2 linked regions of the Tamandua tetradactyla genome follow. The protein of the gene in region 1 binds, or shares a complex with, the protein of each later gene. Links are inferred from orthologs where the notes say so. Each region holds a gene or a part of one and is shown in the gene's direction. Other genes may lie near its edges.

The links. Proteins that work in one complex are often made in the same cells at the same time.
Region 2: the proteins of YWHAH (region 1) and NUMB are in contact, whole or in part, in a crystal structure (PDB 5YQG), measured with the Mus musculus proteins. The link is inferred for Tamandua tetradactyla from reciprocal best matches to the Homo sapiens genes YWHAH and NUMB. Residues at the interface, in NP_035868.1 of Mus musculus: Arg57, Arg132, Tyr133, Leu177, Asn178, Val181, Glu185, Ile222, Leu225, Asn229; in NP_001129547.1 of Mus musculus: Gln274, Gly275, Ser276, Phe277.

What each region holds. Positions count from the first base shown.
Region 1 is NC_135331.1:30,700,063-30,708,105, reverse strand, and holds the start of YWHAH (14-3-3 protein eta), read left to right. Parts: upstream 1-4,980; 5' UTR 4,981-5,101; coding exon 5,102-5,188; intron 5,189-5,516; exon of another isoform or gene 5,517-8,043. UniProt on the Homo sapiens protein: Adapter protein implicated in the regulation of a large spectrum of both general and specialized signaling pathways. Binds to a large number of partners, usually by recognition of a phosphoserine or phosphothreonine motif.
Region 2 is NC_135338.1:32,165,234-32,172,397, reverse strand, and holds the start of NUMB (protein numb homolog), read left to right. Parts: upstream 1-4,082; 5' UTR 4,083-4,672; coding exon 4,673-4,786; intron 4,787-7,164. UniProt on the Homo sapiens protein: Regulates clathrin-mediated receptor endocytosis. Plays a role in the process of neurogenesis.

The sequences.
Region 1 (8,043 bases):
GTTTCCTGAGTTGGGGCCAGCCTGCCAGTGTTGGCTGGAAGAAGACAGAAGGCTGTAGCAATCTGCTCACCTCCTACTGACAAACTAGGAAGGAAAAGATGGGTTTTTTTAAGCAAAGTTGCTTGGCAGGGAACCTTGGTGAAAACTCAGAGACCCTCTACCTTACTTCTCAGAGTAAGGTTTACCCAGCAGTCTACCGCCACTTTGGTTCTTCTAACAGCTCAACAACCAAAAGAATGCTGTTGGGTTCTCAGAAGGTAAGGGCAGCAGTGGAAACAAAGGTGGAGCTGGAAGACCCTCCCCCTTGCTCTCTGGGCTGCATTTAGGCAACTCACATACCTCTCTGGGCCTGTTTCCTCATCTGTGAAGAACGGGAACAATTATCTCAACTTCTTCTAAACAAAGGGGGAGCAAACTGCTACCCTGTGGCCTGCTGCTATGGAATCACCCTTCATGTAAGGACACAATCCAAACACTTGCCCTCTGAAACATCCCACTTGCATCCTCTTGAGTTGTCACGCCATTGTTTGCTGACCTCACAATGGTGAAATGCCCTAGACCTTCAGAACTGGAAAAAGAAAGGATTCTGCCATCTGCCAGTGTAGCTGCCCATTTTACAGATAAGAAATCCAAAGATTCAGAGAGAGGAAGTTATGGGGCTCTCTGGCACTGTCCTCCAGCTTTCCCTTCCTTGCCTAGGCTCACCCAGTGAGAATCAAGGAGAAGCTTGCAGCAAACCACCTAGAAAATTCAGGCTAAGAAACACAAGCTCCTGGGTCATCTGCAGGGCTTAAAGCGCAAACCCCTTTCGCCCTTGTAGTCACTGGGATTCCATAGGTGACAGCTTTGCCTTCTTCTCCAGAGCCAAGCTCCTGTGAACACGTTTGAAGAGGGCGGGTGCTGCAAAGGGGGGGCCCCCAAGCTCCACCGGCTTGCAGATGGCAGCTACCAGGACATTTTCTCACTTCTTAATGCCAAGAGCTGCCTTGGGAGTCAATCTGCTCCCAGATCGGGCTTTGAAAGAATAGTGAAAGGCTTTGGATAGATCCAGAAATCTGTGTGCTCAGGCTCATCTTGGATACGGGGGTGGAATTTGGTATCAGCAAAAGGACACTAGGGCCAAAGCGAATGAACAGAAAGCGAGTGTGAGCTGGGGAGACCATGGGTGGCTGCCTGGACCACAGAGCAAGTCTGATTCCTCTAGTTCTTAATTTCCTCATCCATATAATAGTTGCTGCTCATGCCATTATTATCGTTGGCTCAGGATTAGAAAGTTCACTTTGGTGCGTTTGGGGAAAAAAAAAATTAAAATCCTATCTGGGTACCCGACTCCCTGGGCGATGGCATCCAGGCCAAGGGTATGAACACCTGCCTCTCCACAACAACACAAGGTCTTCTTTGTAATATGTTCCTTGGTATCCAGACTTCTGAGGGAACTCAGAGTGTCCCAGAGTACCCGAGGGTGTAAAAAAAAAAACCCACAAAAAAAACAGGACGTGCCTTTTCTGGGTCACCTATTCACAGGTCTCCGGCTGAGGGTTCTGGCAATGCTTCAGAAAACAAGTCCTACATGAGAAGCATCTTTATCACTGACTCAGGAGCAAGGGATTATTATACGGCAGTGATGGCGGGTGCTTTCATGTGCTGGCATTATGCCACCGATCCCACAATAACCCCAAGAGATAAGTGTGGTTAGCGCGAGTATGCAAGAGAGAAAACAGACTCAGAGAGGGCTGGTAACTGGTGGGGTAGGATTTGAATCCAAGTCCAGAACTAGCTTCTTTCTACCCTCCTCCCCCCTCACACACATACTTTCTTAGCCAGCCGGGGGATAGCGGAGGCATTGCTCTGTTCCCGGAAAAAGCCCCTGTCCCAGGCAAAGCTCCAGCCTGGCCCCTACCCTGGGCCTGCTTCGGGCCCTGGAACAACATGGTGTTGGATATTGTCAGCCCCCTTCACTTCACTCATGGACTGTCTTTGGAGCTGGTCAAATGCTTGTTTATTGATCAGGCTTGGAGCCCTGGCAGTAGGTGCTCCATCCAGGGCACACCCCACTGGTCTTTGATTTATAAGGCTTTGGGGGAGCTGGCAGCTCTCTTCCCTGAGGGGGAAGATGCTGGTAAGATGCAGGCTACAAGAAGGAGGCTTATGTGTGCTTTTCATAATCCAAATGACTCCAAAAGGGGAGTCATACCTTGAGCCCTTTTTGGCTAACACCAAAAGGCAGTGTGGGGCCATCAGGCTTAGGAGTCTGATGGACTTGAATTTGAATCCTGGCTCTGTTGATTACCAGCTGGGCGACTTTCTTCAAGTCAGGGAACATCTCTGAGCCAGTTTCCTCATCTGTAAAATGGGGGTGGAAATTGCCTTTTACTTCAAGGGTATCTTGAAGTAAAAAAAATATGCCCATCTCTGCAAAACCCCTTACCTGATGCTAGGAACATGGTAAATCTTCCTTTCCTTTCAAGAGTGGGGTTGGACAAGGTCACCCAGAATGGGCAGAATGGAAAGAGGAGAGGGCCTGGGACGAAGCCTTGAGGAACCCCTGCATTTCACGGTGGGCCTAGAAGACAAACTCACACAGGAAACAGAAAAGGAGTGGCCAGAACAGTTGAGGAGAAACCAGGAGAGTGCAGGGTCATGAAAGCTAAGAGGTGAGTGTTCGAAGGAGGGGTGAGCCGTTGTGGGTCAGGAAAGTGAAGACTCCAAAGCATCCTTGGATTTGGCAACAAGGAGGCCATTGGTGGTCTCAGCGAGGGTCATCTGGGTGGAGAGGGGGTAGAAGCCAGAGTACAGTGGGCTGAGGGCTGGGTGGGAGGTGAAGAAGTGAAGACAGAGAAGTTTGGTGAGAAGGAAAGAAAGGCTTTCTGGAAGAACCAAAGTGTAATTTAGGAATGTCAAAATCAACTGTTTAGACTGTTTCAGCTCTACCTATTTCTCATTGTTTTGAAATCACTCTCAGTCCAGCATGATCTGGAAAACAATAGCCTCTAAAGGCTGGAAGGAACCAGAGTTTCACCATACCGTCCTCATCCTGCCCTGGCCCTGCCTCTCAGAGCGCCTTCTCTGCTAGATGGGGTGGAAGATTAATTACGAGCTATCATACTCTTTAAAGATATTCACGAGGGGAAAGAACAGCCTGGTTTGCTAACCTGGATTCCATTTCTAGTCAGCAAAGGTGACTCTTCAAAACACGGGTGAAGCGTGGGGAGTGGCTCTTCCCCAGACCCATACTTAATCCTGCGTTATGGGTGCCAAGCCTCCTTTTAGCACCAGAGGAGGAGGGCTGGGTGGCTGGAGACCTGTGTGGAGGCTCCAGATCTGCTCACTCACAGCACAAACTGGAGCCAGCCTCTCCTTCTGAGACTCAGTTTCTCTTTATGCAGGATAAGGAGTTGGACAGCAGTGACCGTGACATTTCAGAATGAGGATTTCTATGTTTCAGTCCTTTAACAGTCCTTCAAGTCCAATTTTTCAGATGCTAAAACCGAGTTCCAGAAACGGTTCAGTCTTCAGTCCCTCCCTTTCCCTTCTAATGCATGTTACTTTCTGAAGCCAGATTCCTGGCCAGAAACATGACTTCTGTTACCTCTGTAGCTCCGAAGAATCAAGTCTCAAATCTTCAATCTGGCATTTAAAACACTCTATAATCTCACCCTACCCAACCTCATTCCCAATGGCAAGCGTCTCTTTTCACTATCTCTTTTGTCTTTATCCTCTCTGCCAAGTCAAGTCTTTGTCCATACTGTACGCCCCCCCGCCCCAATACCTCTTCCCTCCCTCTCAAGGCCCAGATTACCTATTCTCGCATATTTAGATCTGTGCTGCTTAGCGGCAGGGGTATATATTACTCATTCCTGTAGCTACCCTATCCTCTCAGTGCTAAATATGCAGCAGGTGCTCAACAGAACTTTCAGAAAGCCTAAGGCCTCTTCTTCCGCGCTGCCCTTGCCATATATATTGTACGTGGCCGGCATGCTTTGGTCAGCGAGGTTTTCCCGGCTTGCCTGGAAGCCGCACCGAATGCCATGACTGAAAGGAGCTCAGTGACTGGCCGACCCCTTCCTTGCCTGAGCTTGCACCCTTATCCTGGCCCTATCACTGGACGGCTGTGCAACCTTCAGCAAGTCACTAACTTCACGTTGCCTCAGGCTCCACAACTGAAAAATGGGGAGACCAGCCGCGTCCACAGACAAGGGTGGGTGGTGCGTATTAAATACAATAACGCCTGTAGACGTCCCAGCACTAGGCCAGTTCCCTGCAAGGGCGTCGTGACTGTGAGGCCGGACGCCACCTCTCAGGGTGGGAGCTCAGCTCTGCAGCCCAGGATTGCGCGTGTGTGGTGGTGGCGGTTGTGGTAGTGTGGTAAGGGGGTTCCCAAGGGCGGGGCTCGATACCGCCAGGGTGTGGCCCGTGCAACCCAGGGGCCGGGAGGGACTCCACGCTGCTGCGGCTACGGGGGCGGGGGCGAATCCGCCCCACCCCTCCGGGCGTACGCCCTCCCGGCTTCTCCACGCAGGAGGTTTATTTGCGTTTTGGACCCTCCTCAGGCCAGGCCGCTAACGTGCATTCAGGCGCGCTTTGCAGGATGAGTTTGTGGCAACGCGCCGCCTAGGCAGCCGCCATCACCACACCCAGCCCTCCGGCTCCGCAGTCTCCAACCGGTTCACCCAGCTCCCACCTCCACCTCTGCGGCGGTAAAATGCAGCACTCGCAGGGCGCCTGCGCGGCTCTCGGGCGGGGCCGCGGTGGCGGCTATTTATAGTAGGTGACGTCACCTTGAAATAGACCGTTAGGGCCAGCTCGCCCTTCCCCCCTCCCACTCTCGCCGCTCCCCGCCGCCCGGCCCAGCAGCTCCCACTGCGCAGGCGCCCTCCCATCCTCCCCTCCCCCTCGGCACGCCCGCCTCTCCTCCCTCCGCGGTGTTCGCGACGCGAAGCCACTGCGCGCGGGACTAGCCAGCGAGCGGGCGCGGGCGGCGGCGCGGTCTCAGCCTCCCTCGGCGGCCGGGAGCCAGTGCGCGTGCGCGGCGGCGGCCTCCGCGGCGAACCGAGAGTGGGCGAGCGGTGCGGGACGCGAGGCGAGACCGAGCCGTAGCGACATGGGGGACCGGGAGCAGCTGCTGCAGCGGGCGCGGCTGGCCGAGCAGGCGGAGCGCTACGACGACATGGCCTCCGCCATGAAGGCGGTGAGACGCCGGGGGACCCGCGCGGCCGGCCTGGGGGTCCAAATCGGGGAAGGGATGGGGCAGCCGGCCGGTCGGGGTGTCCCGCTATGCCCCGGGGTGCCCCCTGCGACCCTGCAGGGCGGAGCCGCCCCCAGCAGCCGGTGCTTCCCGCGCGCGCCGGGCGCCCCGCCATTTCCTGCGGCCGGACCCCAGTCGTGTCTCAGGCGGGGGAGCTGCTGGGGGTCGCGAATGCAGCCCCAGGGGCGGGCGCGCGGGCGGCGGAGCCCTCCTGCGGGCGAGTGGGCGGGGGTCGCCGCATCCCGGCTCAGTGGGTGGGGGAGGGGGAACCGGAGGAAATAGGCGGGAGCCACATTCCCCCTTTCTGACCCCTTTCACCGGGACCTGGGGGCTACATGCCGCCTCGCCGCCCTCCGCCCTTCACCTGGGAATAAAGAGTTGCCGAGTGGGTGACGCCCCTCCTCCCCTATTTTTCTCTGTCACGACCTGGAGTCTGTGGTCTTCTTCTCTCCTTTGCTCCGCTCGCCCGAATTGTGCTCGTCCCACCTTCCCACAACCCGGCCCTGGCTTTGTGTGCCGAGACCCTCTTCTCGCAGGGACGCGAGCGGGAGGGCGGCGGGTGGGGTCTAGCCTGGGCTCATACTCCCTAGCCCCGGGTTGATGCTGCCCCTGTCGGACTCGAGATTAAAATGAGACGTGACTTCTGGGCGAGACGAACCTGTGTACCTTTGCTTTCCTGAGACCCTCGCACATGAACTCTGCAACTTGATTTCCGGTGGAGCCGTAGTGCCCAGCCACACCCTAACAGATTCCGTGGATTGGACACCACCTGCGCTGCTGTGCGTCGAGTTCCGCTTCTCCTCTCACTGTCCCTGCCCTCTTCACGTTATTTTATGTTTTCTCTAAATGAACCCTAGTTCTCTCTGCCTCAAGGTCACACAGTGGTGGAGCCGCGGCAGCTGCCACCAACCTGCTCTGTTCATTCAGCCTACAACCTTCCCGAGACCTCGCAGCAGCCCCCTGGGCCCCACCTTCGACCTGAAGACTCCGGGGTGGGACTCAGATGTCTGCATTTTAACCTGTTCTCCTGACAATTTTTAGGGGGCTTAAGTGAGGTTCATCGCCTTGGATCAAAGCTCATTTGTCCTTTGCTGGCCATCTGAAGGGATCTCTCAAAGAAAAACAACAAATCCAGAGGGTCCCTACAATTTCAGTGTCTTTCCAAAAGCTCATTTTAAAGCATTTGATATTATTATGATCTAAAATAGATTCTGGAAACCAGTTTTAGGATTATCCAGGTAAGAAGAATACTTGAAGAGTTCTCTTTCCTGTAGTGGTGGTGCTGGTTACTAATTTAATTAGATTTGTTTGGAAACCAAGACCAACAACCAAATTGTTGATTCATTGGTGATCCTGACCTGAGCAGTGGCATGCTGTAGTGGGTTAGATAGGAGTTTTTCATCCAGAGGAGGGAAGAATGTAAGTTTGGGGCTTGACACTTATGTAATTCGGAGGGAGGGGATGCCTCTTGAAGAAGAAAAAAAATAATTTTGCCAATTTTACAGAAATTGGACTGGCTGTGAGAGCATGTTCCTTGGAAGGGACCAGGAAGCTTAATTATCTTTGGAATAAAACTGATTCTGACCTCATACCCATTCACATTTAAGTGAACCTCTTGGTAACTGAGTGATATTAGCATTATGCAGTCTGAGGCCTTTCTGTGGGATATTTTAGGAAGGCCCTTGCTCACTCCCTGAGTGTCCCTTAAGGGCTACAGTGTCAGGAGTCCTTTGGGGAGTAAAGATGTTGGAAAGAAAGTAGGGATGGGCCTTAAAGGAAGGTGAATTGAAATTCAGGAAAAATGCCCAGAGGGTACATTTTGAAGCTGTAGGAAACCTGAAGTACTGTGGTCTGGAAAGTGAGGAAAGGATGAAGAGGTGTTACCAGAATGAATTTCAGTTTGGGCAGTGAAAAATTGACTTTCTGGTCTTCATAAGCATGTTTGGAAAATGCTTTCTTGCTTCTAGCTGCTATGTCTGCAGATTTTCTCTGAGGCTTTTAAGGTAGTGTTTTGCAAGCGAATGGATCCTTTACTATGCTGGGTACCTATATTATCTGTGTCTGAAATGATTGAACAAGTTACATAGCTTTGAAAATTCAAGTCAAGCACTAATTGTGTCATTGCAGAATTGTTATAAGCCATTTCCTTAAGGTAATTCTTGTTTTAAAAACAACTTTTTGTTAATATGTCCCCACTATTAAAACTTTTTTTTTTGCCACCTATTTATTGGAATGGACTTGTCAGAGGTCTTATGTTTTACTTATTAATTTGGTGTTTGTAGATTGAATTCATCATGAATGTCATTGGGAACGCTTGTCCTCGTCTTATTAATATCATAGACCTTAATTAGAAGCTTTTGCTGAGTCTGAATTCAAGTCACCCTCTGGGTTTATGTGGGTCTCCTCAGGGTGGTGGAAGGGCATAAACAGACTGCTCTAGGGACCTGGAGCCGGGCACCTGAGTGAAGGGATGTTCTGGTGCCATCGCTCTGAACTTGAACCTTACGTCTCTTGGCCTCAGTTTCTCTGAAGTGTAGAAGTAGGAGTGTTGATGTTACCAGTCAGTTTTCAACCGTTAGTCTTCTGACTTATTCTATATCCTGTGTCATTTAAATGGTCACGTAATACTGCCTGTCTGTAATAATTGATGTTCTCTGTGCTACCAGTGTCACCTGAAGGATGGTGTCAGTAAGCTGTAAGAAAAACATCATGCATACTGGAAACAACAGTGTTGCCCCAAATCATTTGAAAACTTGCATTCCCTGCCACACCCCATAATTTGAAGTGCAAGGAATGTT
Region 2 (7,164 bases), on another chromosome or scaffold:
TGTTTGGATTCTTAACTTTTTTATTGTGAAATATGACATATATACAAAAAAGCAATAAATTTCCAAGTACATCTTAACAAGTAGTTGTCAAACAGATTTTAAAGTATGGTATGGGTTACAGTTCCACAAGTTTTTGTTTTGTTTTTTTCTTTTAGCTGCTCTAAGAGACCAACAGAAATATCAATATAATGATTCAGCAGTCATACTCATTTGTTAAATACTACCTTCTGCCTTCTCTGTTTTACTCCTCCTTCTCTTTAAATAACATTGTTCTAGTTTGCTGGCTGCTGGAATGCAATATACCAGGAACAGAATGGCTTTCAAAAATGGGAATTTAATGAGTTGCTAGTTTACAGTTCTAAGGCCAAGAAAATGTCCCAGTTAAAATAAGTCTATAGGAATGTCCAATCAAAGGCATCCAGGGAAGGATACCTTGGTTCAAGAAGGCCAGTCAGAGTCTCTCTCTCAAGTGAGAAGGCACATGGCGAACACAGTCAGGGTTTCTCTCTCGTCTGGAAGGGCACATGGCGAATATGGCGTCATCTGCTACCTTTCTCTCCTGGCTTTCTGTTTCATGAAGCTCCCCAGGAGGCATTTTCCTTCTTCATCTCCAAAGGTCGCTAGCTGGTGGGCTCTCTGCTTCTCATTGCTATGTTGTTCTGCTCTCTCAGAATCACTCATTTTCCAAAGTGTTACTTCTTTTGTAGAACTCCAGAAACTAATCAAGGCCCACCCAAATGGGTGGAGACACATTTCCCCCAATCCAGTTTAACAACCATGCTTGATTGGGTTATCTCCAGGGAGATGATCTAATTACAGATTCAAACATATGGTATTGAATAGGGATTATTCTGCCTTTACGAAATGGGATCCAGATTAAAACATGGCTTTTCTAGGGGACATACATCCTTTCAAACCAGCACAAACATATATATATATATATATATAAGCACTAAATTTCAAAATACAACACAGCATTTAGTTGTAGAACTGATTTCAGAGTTTAGTATAGGCTTAAAATTCCACAGTTTTAGGTTTTTATTTCTAGCTGCTGTAAGGTACTGGAGGCTAAAAGAAATAGCAGTATAATGATTCAGCACTGATTAGATTTTAATATGCAATTATCAGCCCAGTAACAACTACCAAAATGCTCACAAAATGTTAGAATTCCTTTAAAAACAGCTATTACATATTCTTCTTTTGCATAAAATATGCATTAGTGTCAACTGTTTCCTCATGATCAAAATCAGTCTATATAAGAAGAGATGATACAAATCAGTAAGTAAGAGAACTAGTAATGAACAAATGGTAAGAAAGAGACTTTTTGTTGACAGTAAAGAAGAAAGAGCACCTTTCTGAAAACAAGTCCTTCAGCACTGAGGAGACATGAAATTATGTGCTACACAGTGATGCATTATCTGTGAAACTTGTCTTGACCTGTGAGAGGAAGTAAAGTACTTTCTCGTAGCTAAATCAGACCTTTGGGAAGGTATAAATTTTAGGCTTTAGTAGCGCATAAATAGTGCAACATTGTAAAATGATCTTAAAAATTCTCAGATGTACAATAAAGTTTCTAAACCATTGATTTTAAGCAGTCTCAAAAACACCCTGATCTTTTTAACCCAGCCCTTTCTACATGTCCAGCTTGTGCCAAATATGCACCTCCTGCAACTATAGACCTTTTGGCTCCACACATCTTCATGAGGCTCTCTAATTTCTGTTACTTGTAGGTTAATAAATAAAAAGAATGGTTTGTACCATTTCATTGAGACCGTAGCTTTTCACAGTCTGGGTTCATCTTATTTGGTATTGGTGGCCCTTCATTTACAGAGTGGCTGCCAGGCACACAAATGAATAGAGCACACGCAGTTGGCCCCAAAGCTTAAAGTACTCATGGTCAGATAAATCAAAATATGCCATGTATTATAAGGAAAGACTTCATTCCTCCAGAGGGAAAGAACAGTCAAATGCTTTACACTTACAAATGGTGTTTTCCACACAGACTGAGGGGCTTTGTGGAGATTTAACACCAACTGAAAGGATTACTATATTAATTTTCTAGCACAGAATGCAGTGTACCAGAAATTGAATGCCTTATTTAAAGGGGAACTCAATAAGTTATCTGCTTACAGCTCTAAGGAAGTGAAGGTGAACAAATTTAGCCACCAAGCAAGAGGTCACCTAAACTTAAGAATGGACAATGGGTCAGGAACACCTCCGCCAGCGAGGCGGTCACATGGCCGGCATCCACTGGTCCCCTGCTCCCAGGCCCCGTTGCCCTCCGTTCCTCTGGGGATGGGATTCCCTCACCTGGCCTCTCTGAGATGGTTTCTGTCAACCCCCCAACCCCATCCCACCTCTCTCCAGGTTCTGCTTTTCGTAATATCTCATGGCAATGTCTTCTGGGCTGCAAGCACCTCCAAAGATCCATGTCTGTGTCTTCCACATGTCCCCATCTGTGTCAGTCTTTTCCACTTTTAAGTTTTTTAGTATTAAATTCTAAATTTGAGAGCAAGTGGGTAATTGAAGATAAGGCTATTCTTGTCAACTTTTTTTGAAAATGTTTTCTTAGCTTGATTTAAGACATTTTCATCCCCCACCCTTAGTAATAATAACTAAGAGGCAATATACATCTCCATGAAAACAGCAGGTGAGCTTATGGTTTACACTGTTTTTGTATTCAGAAGTTAGGGTTGTCAGAATCCCAGTTTTAAGGTTCATTTCAAATGCTGCATCTTCAATGAAGTTTTTCCTCATTTCCTCATTCTAACTCATGTGATCTCATCACTTTCTTAAAGTACATAGCAATTTGTGCCTCTCCCAAAACATTTGTAGTGTTCCATTATCTAGTATCTTTATATTCTCTTCCTTGACTACAAGAGCCTAGAGGTTATGGATTATGTCTGACTACTTTTTTGTACCCTGTATTTTGTACTTAGTATTGTGATTACATTGCACGTATTAGGTGTTATATAAATATTTTATCTCAGTTGCCCTATTAAATTGAAATACTTCCAAATTCTTTGTTTTTAATTTCACAGCTTAATTTTGCCTAAATAGTTATCTCCGTAAATCAGAGATCTTAAATGTACAAGCTGAATATTCATACTGGGGACACTTTCCACTTTTGAAAGCTAAAGCCCAATTCTATAATTGTAATTCTGTAATGTTTACATTTTGCACACCATATATTTTCTTTAAGGGCAGAAAGAAATGTGCAGAGCAGGGCAACAAATTCCAAGTCAAATAGATTCTTAACATTCTACAGAACCACTCAGTAAATTCTACAAGAAGATGTAGAATTTTTTGTTTTAGTTTATGTGAAAAGGAGGGATACATCTACATGCGGTTCAATATAAGGTGCTCTAAATATGAGGTTTTGTGTCAATTTACCTTGTACTCCAGTGACCCCTGGGTCCATTTCCACCCTACTTTGACACCATGACCTTTTTTTTTTTCCCCATTCTGTTTTTCTTTTATAAAAATCGTTTTTTTCTTAGACTGGGAGAGGCTCCTTCTTGACACAGCTCTTCCTGTTTTGTACCCCTTAAATACTACTAGTCTTAGAAGGGATGTGGGCCAGCTGTGGTTTATGTGAGTTGTTCTCAACAAGCAATAGTGTCTGTCTGTCTCCCTGTCTTTTTCTATGTATATACATTATTTTCTATTTCATATACCCAGTAATTTATCTTTAGGCATTTGACTTTTACCTAGAAGAATTATTTGTTATGTATTAGAGGAGATTGTGGTTCTACAATAGTATGGATCTTACTGTTGCTGCAGTGATTTGAAGTAGTCATCTTTCTTATACCATTATAATAATGTCTTGCTTTCCTGGGGAAATAGAAAACTTCCTTCATTTAAAATTTTATGTACCTGTGTCTTGTTTGGAGTCACCATATCGTATAATGCAGCAATAATTATGTCACTGACAACAAGTTTGTGAGATATTTATTATTCTCATTTTACAGATGAGGAAACTGAGGCTTGGTGAAGTTATGAAACTTGTCCAAAGTCACACAGCTTGTAAAGGGCACAGTCAACATTCAGAGCCAGGTCTGTCCAACTACAAAACTTTTAATCATGGCCATGAAACTTTGAAATAGCTGTGAGGTATCAACCTATATAATTTATTTTGGTATTCATTTTGCTTAACTGTTCTTTAACCTTTATTGACATTTTTTTAATGGTGTTTTTTTGGTCCTTCATAATTTTACTTGTCTTTTAAATATTGTGAAAAGCAAGATAGTAATTAGAATCTGGGCTCCAAATCCAGATTACCTGGGATGAATACTAGTTTCCCCATGGTGGTAGTTAGGTGTCAGTTTGGCCAGGTGCCTAGTTCTGTTGCTGTGAAATGGAACTATTAACATTTGAAACTCGTCTATGGCTGATTACGTCTGCAGTTGGCTAGAGTGCCTTCACAATGAGTGATGTTTAATTTTTTAAATTTAATTTATTTTGTATGATCAAACCAAAACAACATACAAGCATGAACATTCTTAACATATGAACATTCTGTGTATGGTGTACAGTCAATGGCTCACAATATCAGAGTGATGTTTAATTTAATTAGCTAGCAGCTTAAAAGGGAAAGGGCAGAAGAGAGCTCAGTGCAGCACAGCTGCAGCAGCTCAGCGTACCTCATCTCAGCCCTCGCAGCTCAGCCCAGATGTTTGGCGATGCAAAAAGAAATAGCCCTGGGGAAAGCTGTTGGAACCCCAAAGCTGGAAGAGAAGGCTGGCAGACATCACCCTGTGCCTTCCAGTGTAAGAGAAAACCTCAGGTGAAAGTTAGCTGCCTTTCCTCTGAAGAACTATAAATTTTTTACTAAATAAATCCTGTTTTATCAAAAGCCAGTCCATCTCTGGTGTGTTGCATTCTGGCAGCTTTGGCAGACTAAAACACCCACTTAACTTGTTGTGTGACATTAGGAAAGTTACTTTTCTGTACCTTAGTTTTCCTCTTTGTAAAATTGTAATAGGATTGTTGTGAAGATTAAAAGATTTAATATGTACAAAACACTTATTACAGTGCCTGACACATAGTAGGCCTTCAATAAATGTAACTATTATTACTGTTTTCATCTCCTAATAGCCAGTAAATCAAATCATTATTTTCAATTCTCTGCTAGGAAATTTGGGTAAGGCAAAGTTCAGACAGCAGCATTAGGTCTCACAAAACTTGTGTAAGCCAAAATTAAATTTGAATAAGTTATATGTAAGGGGAATCATTAAACTTCTGATTAAGTTCAGCTCTACTGTAAAACATTGGCAACTGCTTTTTGGTCACACATGTATGAGATCTTGCATGTATTGGAACCATGCATGCATAAGCCCACTAAAAATATCCTTTCAGCCTAATAAGAGAATTCATTATATCTGAACACTGCATTATGAATATATTTCTTTTTTATTCTTGTAAGCACATATATTCAGAATGAATGTCTGCATTTTCAGGTGGCTTGTAAGGAGATGTTGTTTTCGCAGTATTGACAGTTACCAGGAACTAGAAACTCTCATGTATTATGTACATAATACTTCTTGCAGGCTTGGTATCAGAACTTATACCATGATGAATGTATATCACTGCCTGACCCCTAAATCAGTGGGATCAAACTCAGCCATGTACTCATCTTCACTTAGACTTGGTTGTCGTAGCTGTCCAACTATTGCTACAATTAAAGTAAGATCCCTGTGATTATAGTTATAACTAGTGACTAGTTATAAGTTTATATCAATTGCAGAAATATCCTTGACTGGGAAATAATTTCAGTCAAGATATGCACAAATTCAGAAACTATTGTTTAGAGAATGAGATTTATCTTGCATATGAGGCCAGGATCTCTGCAGCTTTTAATCTATGCATGCATTTAGATTTTCCCTTTATTTTATGATATAGCCTCCTCCTAACATTCAATATAGTATATATTTTGAGTTATTTAGATTTTTGAAATCATCGTTCAATTAATTTATTTTTCCATAGAAGTCTGAAGTCTGTTAGATTTAATTTTTTTTTTTTTTATTTTAACATGGACAGGCACTAGGAATCGAACCCGGGTCCTCTGGCGTGCTGAGCCACTGTGGCCAACCCTAGATTTAATTTTTAATTATCTTATATTTTGTTATTATTTCTGTTTACTGATGTGAACTCTTTTTTGGTATATAGGTCTATTATGTTCAACCACCTTACTGAATTCTTTTATTAATTCTAATAATTTATGAATGCTTTTAGATTTTCTATGTAGTTAACTATTGTGAATGAGAATTTTTTTCCTTTCCGATGCTTCCACCTTTTATTTCTTTTTCTTGAATTATTTATGCTTGCCTTATTTTATGAGTTCCAATGTAACTATAAAAGGTGGACATCCTTGGTGTACCTAAGATTTTAAAAGAAATGCTTGTTATGTTTTGTCATTAAGCATGTTGTTTGCTTGATTCCCAGACCATGCACTGCACCCCGCCCCCCAAAAGAAGAGTAATGTTTGGTATAGGTTTGTGGTAGATAGTATTTGTAGGTTAAAGAAGTTTCTGTTTCTAGTTGACAAAGATTATTTTTGCATGTGAAAAATGAGTATTGAGTTTTATATTTGATACTTTTTCTGCATTTTTTGGAATGTTCATACAGTTTTCCCTGTTTATTCTGTTAATATGATGAATGACATTTATAGGTTTTCTAATGATGAATGATCTTTGCATTGCTGGAATGAACCTAACTTTGTCACGATGATCTTTTTTTTATGTGCAACTGGATTTAGTTCATTAATATTTTGTGTAAGATTTTACACCTATGTTTACAACTTGGCCTATTTTTTATTCATTTTTTAAAATTTTTATTAATAAAACCAGTCATCATACAATATGAACATTCTTTTTTAATCACATTGTTGTATATTTATCATCATGATCATTTCTTAGAACATTTGCATAAATTCAGAAAAAGAAATAAAGCAGAAAAAAGAAATTCATGCATACCATACTCCTTACCCCTTCCATTCATTGATCACTGACATTTCCATCTACTCTATTTTGACATTTGTTCCCCCATTATTTATTTATTTTTAATCCATATGTTTTACTCATCTGTTGATAAGGTAGATAAAAGGAGCATCAGACACAAGGTTTTCACAATCACACAGTCACATTGCAAAAGCTGTATCATTAT